Linked DNA regions of Sus scrofa. The protein of the gene in region 3 interacts with the protein of the main gene of each other region in a pairwise test. Links are inferred from orthologs where the notes say so. Each region holds a gene or a part of one and is shown on either strand. Other genes may lie near its edges. The genes, in order: SUV39H1, PRR14 and CBX5.

What was found.
Region 1: the proteins of CBX5 (region 3) and SUV39H1 interact in binary tests that used the Homo sapiens proteins (3 or more experiments, as listed by UniProt). The link is inferred for Sus scrofa from reciprocal best matches to the Homo sapiens genes CBX5 and SUV39H1.
Region 2: the proteins of CBX5 (region 3) and PRR14 interact in binary tests that used the Homo sapiens proteins (3 or more experiments, as listed by UniProt). The two-hybrid records come from large-scale screens. The link is inferred for Sus scrofa from reciprocal best matches to the Homo sapiens genes CBX5 and PRR14.

The regions. Positions count from the first base shown.
Region 1 is NC_010461.5:42,800,049-42,804,033, reverse strand, and holds part of SUV39H1 (histone-lysine N-methyltransferase SUV39H1), read right to left. Parts: intron 3,796-3,985; coding exon 3,650-3,795; intron 1,279-3,649; coding exon 616-1,278; intron 1-615. UniProt on the Homo sapiens protein: Histone methyltransferase that specifically trimethylates 'Lys-9' of histone H3 using monomethylated H3 'Lys-9' as substrate. Also weakly methylates histone H1 (in vitro).
Region 2 is NC_010445.4:17,748,197-17,752,674, forward strand, and holds the start of PRR14 (proline-rich protein 14), read right to left. Parts: upstream 3,185-4,478; 5' UTR 3,065-3,184; intron 2,938-3,064; exon of another isoform or gene 2,704-2,937; intron 2,282-2,703; 5' UTR 2,233-2,281; coding exon 2,210-2,232; intron 2,086-2,209; coding exon 1,917-2,085; intron 1,332-1,916; coding exon 1,210-1,331; intron 1,138-1,209; coding exon 948-1,137; intron 421-947; coding exon 377-420; intron 193-376; coding exon 83-192; intron 1-82. UniProt on the Homo sapiens protein: Functions in tethering peripheral heterochromatin to the nuclear lamina during interphase, possibly through the interaction with heterochromatin protein CBX5/HP1 alpha. Might play a role in reattaching heterochromatin to the nuclear lamina at mitotic exit.
Region 3 is NC_010447.5:19,463,611-19,467,595, forward strand, and holds part of CBX5 (chromobox protein homolog 5), read right to left. Parts: intron 3,604-3,985; exon of another isoform or gene 3,473-3,603; intron 3,406-3,472; exon of another isoform or gene 3,232-3,405; intron 1,768-3,231; exon of another isoform or gene 1,748-1,767; intron 1,558-1,747; 5' UTR 1,516-1,557; coding exon 1,379-1,515; intron 1-1,378. UniProt on the Homo sapiens protein: Component of heterochromatin that recognizes and binds histone H3 tails methylated at 'Lys-9' (H3K9me), leading to epigenetic repression. In contrast, it is excluded from chromatin when 'Tyr-41' of histone H3 is phosphorylated (H3Y41ph).

The DNA.
Region 1 (3,985 bases), on a different chromosome or scaffold from region 3:
CGAACGGACTTCCAACGAACGGACTTCCAACGCACCACGCCGCTAAGCGTTGGGGTTGCCTGGTAGGGTGGGGGGGCCTGCCTCCTACAGCCGGCTCTCCAGAGCCGTGTCCAGAGGAGGAAGCCGGAAGCCGGCCTCCCCCAGGCACTCCCGCCCGCCTCCGGCAGGCCGTCGGCGCCCCGCTTGGGCGGACTAGCAAAAGGTGCTCCTCCCTGGGCAGGCACCGCTGGGCGGACGGCTGGGCCCTCGGGGGAAATGAGAAGAGGAAGTGCCCCGTCAGGTGACACAACCCCTCGCAGCCCACAGGGCCCGCTGAAAGGAACGCTGCCTGGATTTCGGTTCCCGCTTTTGCCCTTTGCTGGCTCCCCTGGGGAGGGAGGGCCGCCCAGCCCGGAGGTATTTCAGGGGGGCTTTACCCGCCTGCTTAGACCACTCACCCCGGCTGGGGTGGGGTCTCTCACACTGGGGTTCACCGCCCCCAACACCTCGCCCACCGCACCGGGAGTGCGGGGAAGCCGCAGGCACACAGAGGGGCGGGCGAGCCCGGCGCACTGCGCTTAGCGGTGGGGCGGCGACGGCGGCGGCGGGAACAGGCGCCCAGCCCCGACTCCCTACCTCGCCCACGTACTCCATGACGAAGCTGTTCTTGCGGATCTTCTCCAGTGTGCGGACACCCCAGCCGCGGCCGTCGTCCGTGCGGAAGATGCAGAGGTCGTAGCGGATGCCCTTCTGCACCACGCGGTTGGGGCAGTCGTAGCCGCAGCGGCAGCGCGAGTTGCACTCGTAGATGGGCAGCCCGGCTCGCAGCCGCACCTGGCCCTGGTCGTTGTAGGCGAACTTGTGCAGCGAGGCCCCCGGGCAGCAGCCTCCGGCAGGTGCCCACAGACAGTCCTGGCACTCGCAGCCCACGGCCACCTGGTTGAGGGTGATGCCCTCACCCACCCGGTACTCGTTGATGTACACGAAGGCCCGCGGGGGGCCGTCCAGGTCCACCTCGTTCTCCACGGTGATGCGTCCCAGGTGGCTGCGCTTGGCGTTGAGCTCCTGCTCCCAGCGCCGGAGGGCCCGCCTCTGCTTGGCCTTCTGCACCAGGTAGTTGGCCAGGCTTGGGTCCAGGTGCCGCGGCGGCTTTGACCGGTGGTGCCGCCGGAGCAGCTCCCGTTCCAAGTCCTTGTGGAACTGCTTGAGGATGCGCACACATTTGAGATTCTGCCGAGGCTCCCAGGTGCTCTCTGAGTCTGGGTACCCACGCCATTTCACCAGGTAATACTCCTGTTCCTGTGGGGAGGGGGGAGGGGGAGACATGGACACCATCAGTGACCAGACCCCTGGGCCAGCCTTCATGTGACCTCCATCCCGACACCTGTGGATGACACCCACACTGCCCGCCCCCTTTCCTGGAAAGACTCTGTGCAGTGGTTAACAAGCATGGGCTCTGGGGAGTTCCCGTTGTGGCTCAGCTGTAATGAATCCAGACTAGAATCCATGACGGTGCGGGTTCAATTCCCTGGCCTCGATCAGTGGATTAAGGATCCAGCGTTGCCGAGAGCTGTGGTGTAGGTCGCAGACGCGGCTCAGATCTGGTGTTGCGGTGGCTGTGGTGTAGGCTGGCAGCTGTTGCTCCGATTCCACCCGTGGCCTGGGAACTTCCACATCCCGTGGGTGCGGCCCAAAAAAGCCAAAAAAAAAAAAAAACCCTCCAAAAAAACAAAAGGACAGGCTCTGGGGAGTTCCCATCGTGGCTCAGTGGTAACGAATCTGACCAGGATCCACAGGGATGCGGGTTCAATCCCCGGCCTCACTCAGTGGATTAAGGATCCAGCCTTGCTGTGAGCTGTGGTGTAGGTCGCAGACACGGCTCAAATCCCACGTTGCGGAGTTCCCGTCGTGGCGCAGTGGTTAACGAATCCGACTAGGAACCATGAGGTTGTGGGCTTAGTCCCTGCCCTTGCTCAGTGGGTTAACGATCCGGCGTTGCCGTGAGCTGTGGTGTAGGTTGCAGACGCGGCTCGGATCCTGAGTTGCTGTGGCTCTGGCGTAGGCCAGTGGCTACAGCTCAGAATAGACCCCTAGCCTGGGAGCCTCCATATGCCGCAGGAGCGGCCCAAAGAAACAGCAAGAAGACAAACAAACAAACAAATCCCATGTTGCGGTGGCTGTGGTGTAGGCTGGCAGCTGTTGCCCCGATTCCACCCATGGCCTGGGAACTTCCACATCCCGCGGGTGCGGCCCGAAAAAGCCAAAAAAACCCCCAAAAAGCAAAAAGGACGAGCTCTGGGGAGTTCCCATCGTGGCTCAGTGGTAACGAATCCCACCAGAATGTGGGTTCGATCCCTGGCCTTGCTCAGTGGGTTAAGGATCCGGCGTTGCCGAGAGCTGTGGTGGTGTAAGTCACAGATGCAGCTTGGATCTGGCGTTGCTGTGGCCATGGTGTAGGCCGGCAGCTACAGCTCTGATTGGATCCCTAGCCTGAAGAGCTTCCATATGCCGTAGGTGCCGCCCTAAAAAGACAAAGAAAAGAAAAAAAAAAGGGCTCTGGCGTGAGGCTCGCTGGGTTCCAGACCCCCTCTCCCTCTTACCATCCATCTGTCACACGTCCAAGCTTTAATCTCCCAAACCTAGTCCTTCCTTCTAGCTGCTGAGCCCCAGCTCTTGGCATCACCCTTGACTCCTTTTTCACACAACTCCCCCCACATCCACTCTCAGCGAATCCTGCCAGCCCCGCCTGCAAACCGACCTCTAGAATCCCACACTTCAAACCGCGGTCACTGCCACCACTGGCAGCAGCAGCCTTCTCCCGCCCCCCCCCCCCACTCCACCCTCACCCTCACGGTCTGTTTCCCACACAGCAGCCAGAAGGATCTTTTCTTGCCGAGCGGTAGCTATAGGATAGAGCGTCATGACACGGATTCTACAACTAGACACCCTGGGTACAAATCCTGGATCTGCCGCTCCCTAGCAGTGGGGACTTAAGCAGTTATTGAACTTGGCTGGGCCTCAGTCTCCTCGTCTATAAATAAGAAAAAGAAGCTGACATTTTTCTAGCAGGCATGAGGTAGCAGGAACCGTTCTAAGCCCCTTACGTGTGTTATTAACTCATTTAACCCTCACAACTCAATGTGAGAGCGATCCTACTAATTATCCCCATTTGATGGATGAGGAAAAGCAGCACAGAGGATTTGGATGAGTATCTTGGGGCTTCACAGCCAGGATCTGAACCCAAGCCGTGCAAGGCTCCAGGCGGTTCTCTTAAATATCCTGCCATTACCTCCTCTCGCAACAGTAACAGTTCCCACTTTACAGTGTTGCTCAGGAGATTAAATCAGTTTCTGAAAGGAAGTGCCTAGCACACAAAGTGCTGAGTAACCATTCGCTATCATCATCTCCACTCGTGGGCTCAGCATCTCAATCTCTGCAACTGGTTTGTATTCCTAGGGAGGTGGGAAGAAGAGATTTATTTGGGGATTCGTTCTGGCTCCTGCCCCTCTCATAAAGTTACTTAGGTTTCCCACCTGTAAAAGAGAGATGATAAGAGGGCCAACTAATCCTATTTTTTTTTTTTAAGATAAGAGGAGAAAATTCCTTTTGGAAACTGATGTGGGGCAGGGGTGAGTCAACCCTGTCCCGGCCATGGTCACCCCAGACTCACGCGGATCTTTTTATAATCGCACAGGTACTCGACTTCAAAGTCATAGAGGTTCCTCTTGGAGATGCCAAGGGCAGGGCAGGAGAGCTTGGCCAGGCGGCACAGGTCCTGGAGCTGATTCCAAGAAGACTTGCAACACACACTGCATCCTGGAACAAAGAGGGCCAGAAAGAACTATTACCAGGCATTCTGGTGAGGCCAGGGGTCAAAGAGGATCTCAGATCCTCCCTGAGACTTCCAAAGGACTGCCTCACGGTCAGTGAAATTTAATCCACAGGCCTTCCCAATGCTCAGACCCTTCTACAACAAAAACGTGCTACTCCCATCTACCCCTGGAGC
Region 2 (4,478 bases), on a different chromosome or scaffold from region 3:
CATCCCCACCTCTGCACCTGACACTTCAAAAGCTCAGCCAGAATTTTCCAGAACCCCAAGTCTCATCCATCTGAGTCTTTACCTGGTGGTGGGTTCTCCGGAGGATCTGTAGACATGGCAGGCGGCTGGAATGGGGGTTCCAGGTCCCTGGGCGGAGGCTTTGGATGGTGAACCCTCACCATGGGCTCAGCTCTGGGGTGAAGGGGCAAGTTCGAGGCTGAGGAAGCCTCCAGATCAGATCCCACCTGAGCCAGCACCTCCCCGTCCCTTAAGGCTTCTGAAGGTGCTACAAGGAAGGACTGGGCAAGCAAATTCTGACACCTGGATAATGGCTGTGGCCAGTACATCTTGAAAATCCCTTCCCCAGCCCTCTCACCTTTTTGCTGGGACGATGAAGTTGGGCGTCTCACCGGCAAAACCCTGGATGTAAACAGGGGATGTTCGTGGGCAGGCAGGGAAGGCCCCTGCGGCTTCTTTAGCTCCTCACACTCCGAATCTCTCAGTCGCCAGAGGCCTGCCTAGGTTCACGCTAAAGGCTTTTTCATATAGGTCTTTGCTCAGGCAGAGGTCTCTTTCACCTAAAACTGTTCTCACTCTGAGCAAAATCCACCCTAGGAGTTCCTGTTGTGGCTCAGCAGTAACGAACTCAACTAGTTTCCATGAGGATGCAGGTTTGATCCCTGGCCTCGATCAGTGGGTTAGGGATCCAGCGCTGCCATGAGCTGTGATGTAGGTCGAAGATGTGCCTTGGATCCGGCATTGCCATGGCTGCAGCAGATTCGACCCCTAGCCTGGGAACTTCCTTATGCTGCATGTGCGGCCCTAAAAAAGAAAAGGAAAAAAAAAAAAATCCACCCCCGACTCAGCCCTTTTACTCTGTCTTCCATGCCCGCTGGAGCCCCTGCCCCCAGCTGAACCCCCAACATCATTCTCTGAAGTTCGCATACCTCAACCGGGGCTCTGCGGCTGGCAATGTCTTCTAGCATCACCACCAGAGTGGGCTGGGGGGCCTGGTCCACCTTTTGTGAAGGGCCTTCCTCTGGGCCAGGTGTTGGCTTTGAACGCCGCCTCAGGGTGGAAGGGGGCCGATGGACACGGCTCAAGGGCTCTCGGCATAAGCGCAGTGGGTCGGGGGGCCTAGGGACGGAACAGGAAGATCAGTAGGGCTCAGCTGGGTTCCCAGCTTACCCCTCATCCTGCCATGCTCACCTGGCCTGTGAGCACCACGTGGCTTGTCGGGGTGGTGAGGCAGGTGGCTGGCTTCGGGCGGAATCCTGATGGTTGCTGCGGTGCCGTGGGGTGGAGATCTCCTCTTGGGGCACCAGGGGAACCTAGGAGAGGAGGAGGTGTCGAGAGCAAGGTGACGGACAGGGCTTCCCTGGGCCTAACAGTGTCCTCTGCCATACAGATGGCAGACATCGTGCCTAGAATTCATTCGCGAGCCCAAGAAGTCAGCTGAGCTGAATTAAGGACCAGATAATAGAGTGTCTTGAGCTGCTGGTGTGGGACTTGGGTAATATTCACCCAGGTTTCTTTGTAGAAATGAAAAGGAGAAGGTACCCAGAGAGAGTCACTGCCCTATTTGGGGCCTCAGTTTTTCTAATCTGAGCAGTGGAACCAAAGACCTCAGCCTGCTTCCTAAGGGTTGTTTAGAAGTTGGGCTGGGAAGAAAGCAGAAGGGTTTCTCATACTTAGAGTCGTAGGGACGTGGTTTCAGCCCAGCAGAGTCGGTGGTGAGGAATGGGTCCAGGAGACCCTACCCACTTCCAGGTTAGAGTAAGTGAGAGCCGAGTGGGAGGCTGCCTGATGGATGAGTGTGAGAATGAGGTGTTTGTTATCCTCATTAAAGAACGGGTTTGGCTTTGGTACCCAGGAGACGGGAGGGAGAAGGGGGCCTCTCAGTTCAAGGGGCTCACCATGTGGGCAGCCATGACATCTTCCAGGACCACAGCCAGGACCCGCCGAGAGGCTTTTTCCAAGGGCGAAGGGGCCCCAAGGGGCTGCAGTTTCGGCCGTTTGGGGCTCCTGGCTCCCCATAATGCTCGAGCCAGAGGCTGGCGGCACAGACGCTGCCGGCCAGGCGGGCTGGAGGTGGAGAGAAGCAGAGGACGGTCCTCTAAGCCTGTTGTTGGCTCTGTGGTTTCCCCGGTACGGCCACCAGGCTCCCCGTTTCCCGGGCTCAAGACAGGCGGGCGGGGTGCGCTCTCACCTGGAGTCCCCGGGCAAGTCCATGGGGGAAGCGGCGGCTCCGGGGAGTCCCTGGGGGATCCCAGGCTCCAGCCTGGGTTTGGGGGGGAGCGGGGGAGCGGGGAGTGAGGGCCAGCCCCTCCCCTGGGGCTCCGCCCTTCATGGTCCGCCCGAGGCTCCCAGTAGCCCAGGGGCCGGAGCCCTGGGGCTCGGAAGGGCGCCCTCGTCTGGCCGCCGGGAACGGGTGTCTTCCCGCTGCTGCCGCGATCAGTGGATCACTCGCGCCCTGCCTGGCCGCGAGAACCTGGATTGCAGCGGCCCCAGTTCTCCCACGGCCCAAGCCTCCTGGGGCCTTTGTCCCTTCAGATTCTGCCCTGAGATCCCCCGGGATCAGCTGGGATCCCGGTCCTCAGAGGCTCAGTTTCCGCCAGATCCCTCTGTAATCCTCATCCACTCCCAGTGAGTGGGCGAGGACTCCGAAGGAACACTCCCACACGCCGACGGTTCCCCCCCTACCAGATCCCCTAGACTGGATCCCCGCTGAAAGAATCCTATAGCGCGGTTCCTCCAGTCAGACGCCGCGCGAGGATCCTCCTCTCCCCGTGAGCTTCGGCTCCACAAAGCTCCACTCAGAAAGGGGCTGCCCGAGCTTGAGCATCACAAACTCAGTCCGGATCCCCGGGGATCCACTGTCAAGCAGATACCCCCTTCACTCCAATCCCGGGAGGTCCCGCCCACAGACCCCCTCCCTCCGCCCTCCCCGGATCCCCGCCCAGCGCTCTCCCCAGCCCGGGACCAGATGGTTCAAAAGTTTCCTTCCCTCCCTCCTCCCGCCCTCTCTTCAGCCGCTCGGTGCCCTCCCCCGCGCGCCGCTCACCGCCGCCTCCCGCGGATCCCGGGTCTTCGACGGCTCCCACCTCCGGCTCCTTTAAAACTAGCCTTACCCAGCTCTGCCCAACCGCCGAGGGCCTTCTTCTCAGAGCCTTTGGGCAACGCCCAATCGCCGGTCGCCGTCTTCCGGGGTGGTGAGAAACTAAGTGAAGCCGCCTAGCGGCCATCATCCCTAGGGGCAAGAAGCCAAATTGGGCAGCGCCGCCATTATAGTTGAGGGCAGATAGCGCTGTCCTCAGTGGACCGCAGTGGGCCGGATGGCGTCATCTTTTCCGGCCAGTGAGTGGCCGAAGATGATGCCAAGGTTCTTGAGCTACTGAGGCAACTGTCATGAAGCTAGAGTACCGCCACGTTTTTTAAGGGCATCTTCCGGTTCTTTCGTACTTGGGCCAATAAACGTGAACTGAGTGCTAACGATATGTGAAATTCCCAGTTGCCTAGAGAGGCCCCTTTGAAGCCTTTTCCAGTACCATCGTGGGTTGCTGAACCGGGTTCCCGAGTTGCACGGAAGTGTTTGGCAGCGGGTGGCGGGGACCAGAGACAGGCTGGTGCCACCTCCTGCTTCTCTGGTTGCGTGGCGTCCTGGAGGGACTGGGCTGAGCGGGGGTGCGGAGGAGGCTGGGGCGTTGAGCTTCACTTCACCCAAGGGTTGTGTACCTCTTCCTGGAGGAGCGGGGGTTTCTGCCGCTGGCGCTGGGGGCTCAGTATAGAGGTGCTAGTGCCAGGAGACCAATAACAACCTTGGGGTGCTCGGTGGGGTGCGGCCGCTTTCCTCTCTTTTCGGGCCTCCCCCGAGCCCTCTTTCAAGAGGGACCTAGCTGATGGGCTGTGTAATCAGTCCCATAGTAGTAAGGGACCAGGGATGGAATCCTGCTGCTTAAAGGGGCTTCATCCTGAAACTTTTATACCAGGAGCCAGCTGGTGGTGGGGAGGTAGTGGCTTCTTGCACTGTGAAGGCACCCTCACCGCCTAACCAAAACTCATGCCTCCACTCCTTCCCCAGGATTCCCTGGTCCAAGCTAGTACTTATTTTCTTGCTGGAGCAAGAGAGCCTGAAGCCTAGAATCCTGCGTCTGAGATGACGGTGCACAAGTGACCTAACCCAGCCCAGCATGATTCTCGCCTATGAGATTAAATGATAAGAGTAGTGACACAGGGATTTCTCACTGTGGCTCAGTGAATGTGGACACGAATTTGACTAGCATCCACGAGGATTCGAGTGCGATCCCTGGCCCCGCTCAGTGGGTTAATGCCCTGGCATTGTCTCGATCTGCGGTGTAGGTTGTAGACACGGCTCAGATTCCACATTGCTTTTGCTGTGGCTGTGGTGTAGGCCAGCAGCAGTAGTTCCAATTCAACCCCTAGCCTGGGAACCTCCATGTGCCAAGGAAGCAGCACTA
Region 3 (3,985 bases):
TCCTGGGCCAAGGATCAAACCCACGCCACAGCAGTGAAAACACCAGATTCTTAACTCACTGAACCATCAACTCCAACATGTCTAGTTCTATTTATTCCAAAAGAAAAAAAATTTATTTCAGCATGTCAGCATAAAGTCAGTTACCGCCTAATTCTAAATGGTCAACACTTCAGTATCATCATAACTAACTTAAAAAGAGGGGTTTTAAAGTCTTTAAAATAAATTATTTAAAAAGCTAAATTGAACAGAGTTCCCGTCGTGGCGCAGTGGAAATGAATGCAACTAGGAACAATGAGGTTGCGGGTTCGATCAGTGGGTTAAAGATCTGGCATTGCCGTGAGCTGTGGTGTAGGTCACAGTCGAGGCTCAGATCTGATGTCGCTGTGACTGCGGCATAGGCCAGCAGCTATAGCTCCCACTGGACCCCTAGCCTGGGAACCTCCATGTGTCACAAGTGCAGCCCCAGAAAGCAAAAAAAAAAAAGCTACATTGAGGGATAAAGGGAAAGATTACAGTTTACGTTGCTTCTGTGGCACAGGTTCAATCCCTAGCCCAGGAACTTTCAAATGCCTTGGGCACAGCTGGAAAAAAAAAAAAGGTAATTGTAGAAACTAGGTGGTGTGTATCTGAGTGTTCATTCAATTTTTTTTTGCCTCAGCTGTATATATGGTTTGAAATTTTAAAAAACAAATATTTGGGGGAAATGTGGTCTCAGATCTAAGCCTCTCATTAAGATGAGTGCCTCATCCTAGGATACTTTCGAGGTCCAAAGATCATTATGAAAAGCTATGAGCTATGCTTTTTGTTTGTTTCTTTTGTTGGTATGCAGAAGTTCCCAGGCCAGGGATGGAACCTGAGCCACAGCGGTGACCCTCACCATCACCTCAACAGTGACAACACTGGATCCTTACTCTGTTGAGGCACAAGGGACCTCCTCCTTTTGCTTAAATGTATGTACTTTAGCTTAGTTATATCCAAAAGAATAGTAATAATAACAGTTTATACTTACACTGATGTATTAGGCTTTACACATCTCCCCAACATCTCTATGCTATATACTATTTCTTATCCCTCTTTTACAGAGGAGGAAAAAAGATTAAGAAACTTCACCAAGGTCACTCAGCTCTTATTAGAAGTGGTAGAGCAAGAATCTGGACCCAGGCAATCCAGCCCCATGTCTACTCTCCTAAAGTCACTATACTGCCTCTGAAAAGCCTTCTCTTTAGAACATCTGCTCCAAGAAAGGGGAAACTTTGCTTAGTTTACTGTGGTGTCTTCTGACTCTTACGAAAGGAGTGCTGGCAGAGAAAGAAACAGACAAAGACGGTGGTGATGGTGCACGGGTGCAAAGTCTCACAGCCTGAGAGAATGTACTTACTCGGAAAAGCCTTTCCACTTCAGCAGATATTCCACTTGCCCCTTAACCACGCGTCTGTCTAGCACCTTCTCCACAACATACTCCTCCTCATCCTCTGAAGAAGAACTGTCAGCTGTCCGCTTGGTTTTCTTTCCCATGTCTCACGCTGTTCCACCTGAAGGACTAAGGCCACCGGGTTCCTGCAAGTGCGAAGGACATAACGGTCAGAATCCAGGTGAGCAGTTAAAATTTTCTGTCTCTTCTTGATGGAATGCAGGGGGTATAATACAAAGCAGCTCCCCTATAAAACTGCCATATTGCACATACCTTAACAAAGTTTGAATGTTAAATAAATTATATATTCACTTAGAAAACAAAGTTTCCATGTACCTTTTTCTTGGGTCTTGAGGCATTCTATAGATGAGTCCTAAGAATTTAATCAAAAACAGGTAAATCCTCACTTTCCAAACCACAACTTTCTCTTCAGCTAACAAGATCAAAATTATTAGATGGCACAATTATCTAACTCTTCTAATTTCAGATTCCAAAAAATAAGTAGTGTGTGGGATTTTAGTCTTGGATACTTCTGTAACTGTTTACAAGGCATAAACTCGTTGGAAAATGTGGAAAAACATTCTGTTAGAAGAACCAAGACAGAACTAAAACCTTTCCCCCCAAAGTGACTAAGGTTCTTTATAAAAAAGAAACAAAAAATGAAAAGCCATCAAAATTTAACTTTCCTCTGCTCTGAGCGCCTTGAACAGTCTCTTAGCAGCACAGAAAATGCCTGCTCGGGCATCTTTCACCACATTTTCAGTGATTCAGGACATTTCCCTTAAACAAATTGAGCCTGTCCCTTCAGAGCATCCATCAGCTCACAAAAGTGAGGCTGACATCTCAAACACACTAAACCTCTTCTTTCACTTGGGCATGGGAAGGAGGCAGGGAGGGAGGAGAAATAAATTTTTAGTCCTAAAAATCAAAATTAGTCATTGGGTTGTTCAGTAATTCTTAAGGCTCAACTAATCCAAATACTAAGGAGGTACCTCTCCTCTAACTGGAGTTGACTCTGGGCCAAAGGAAGAGGAGGAGGAAAAGAAGTCTGGTCCCAGACTCACATCAACATGAAGGCTCAAAACACAGAGGAACCATTCATAGGCCCAAGGAAAGCTGAAGCAAGGCAACACAAATGGAAATTGAGTTAAGCTCAGAAATATGCACAACCAGGGGGTACTCAACAGAGATTCTAGTTTTTAAAATTCCCACATTGTTGCTACCATACCCATTTTTAAGACTTCTTCCTTAACCATGTTAAATGGTGCCTAGAATCTGGATTACAGAGCAGAATTGTTTTCTTAGCTGAACTCCATTTTTATCTTGCCGTAATCTTTAAAGATTTTTCAGCACTCAAAAAATATTTCCATCCTGATCAGAAGACCACCATAGGAATAGGGAAGGCCACTTACTAATCTCAGAATTTTGTTCAAGTAGCATAAAAAGTTGCATTTATCGATTTACTTCATATTGGCAAGATTTAGGGAATTATTTCAAGAGTATACAGTTGGGAATCATACCTGCAGAACTTACTAGCAATAGGTCTGCCCACCCAAAATACTGTTTGTGCCCCTTACTGTTCTGTAATAAAACTATGGTTTTATTAAAATACTTTACTTGGAAGTGGGGTGGGAAAGCAGAGGAATGTTAAGGTAAGGGGTTTCAAAATAATTTTTCCATGAATTCAGAAGAAAGTCCTAAGCTTCAAGCAAAAAAAAAAAAAAAATCTGATTTATTTAAAATAAAAGCAGCCTCCAACCTCACCAGAGACAGGAAATGTCCTATTCCAGGGAGAATACCCCACCCCCACCCCCACTCACCTTGGAATTTCCGGGAGCTGAGCAGTTTAGGTCAGAGCGCTGGGGTTAAAACCAGCCCCGGGTTAGATGCATGCAGTTAAGCATTGTGGCTATGGCCTCCCCTGCCTCACAAGGAAAAACAAGGATTTACATATGTGTTCTTCAGTTTGAGGGAGGAAAGAGGAAAATCTCCCTTTATACCTTCATGCAGAAGAGGAGCCCCAAAGGTAGAAGATGAATGGGGGTTCCCTCCTTTACCTACCGGATCGCCCCAGTTCTTTCTTTCCCTCTGGGCTAACAGGAGGGGCCTCCCCTCCCAGGTCTGGGGCTTGGCGGGCTGGCAGCTCCCCCGCCCCCACCCAGCTGCCTAGGCGCCACTGCGCAGCTGTCCCAGTCCATTGCCATGGCAACTGGCAGCAGTACTAGACTAGGGGGAGAAAGGCAAACGGAAAAGTTAAAAGGCTTAACTTTCCTTTTCAGTGAAGACTGGGTGGAGAAGTTGGAAGGTACCTCCCTTGGCCTCAAGGCTAAGGCTTCAGAGCTCTAGAGAACTGGCTCCAGGGTTTTAAACCCAAAACTTGTGCTTATTCCTTTAAGAACACTGGGAATTAATCAATAGCATTTTAAGATCAACTAACAGGATTATAGCTCAACTAGAAGGGGGGACCGCCAGGGAAAAGCTAAATCCATCTACACATGATCAGAATGAACTGCCCACCCCCTAATCCAGCCCTCCAGAAACATTTCAGACAAGGCCTTTTCTACCATCTGTCAC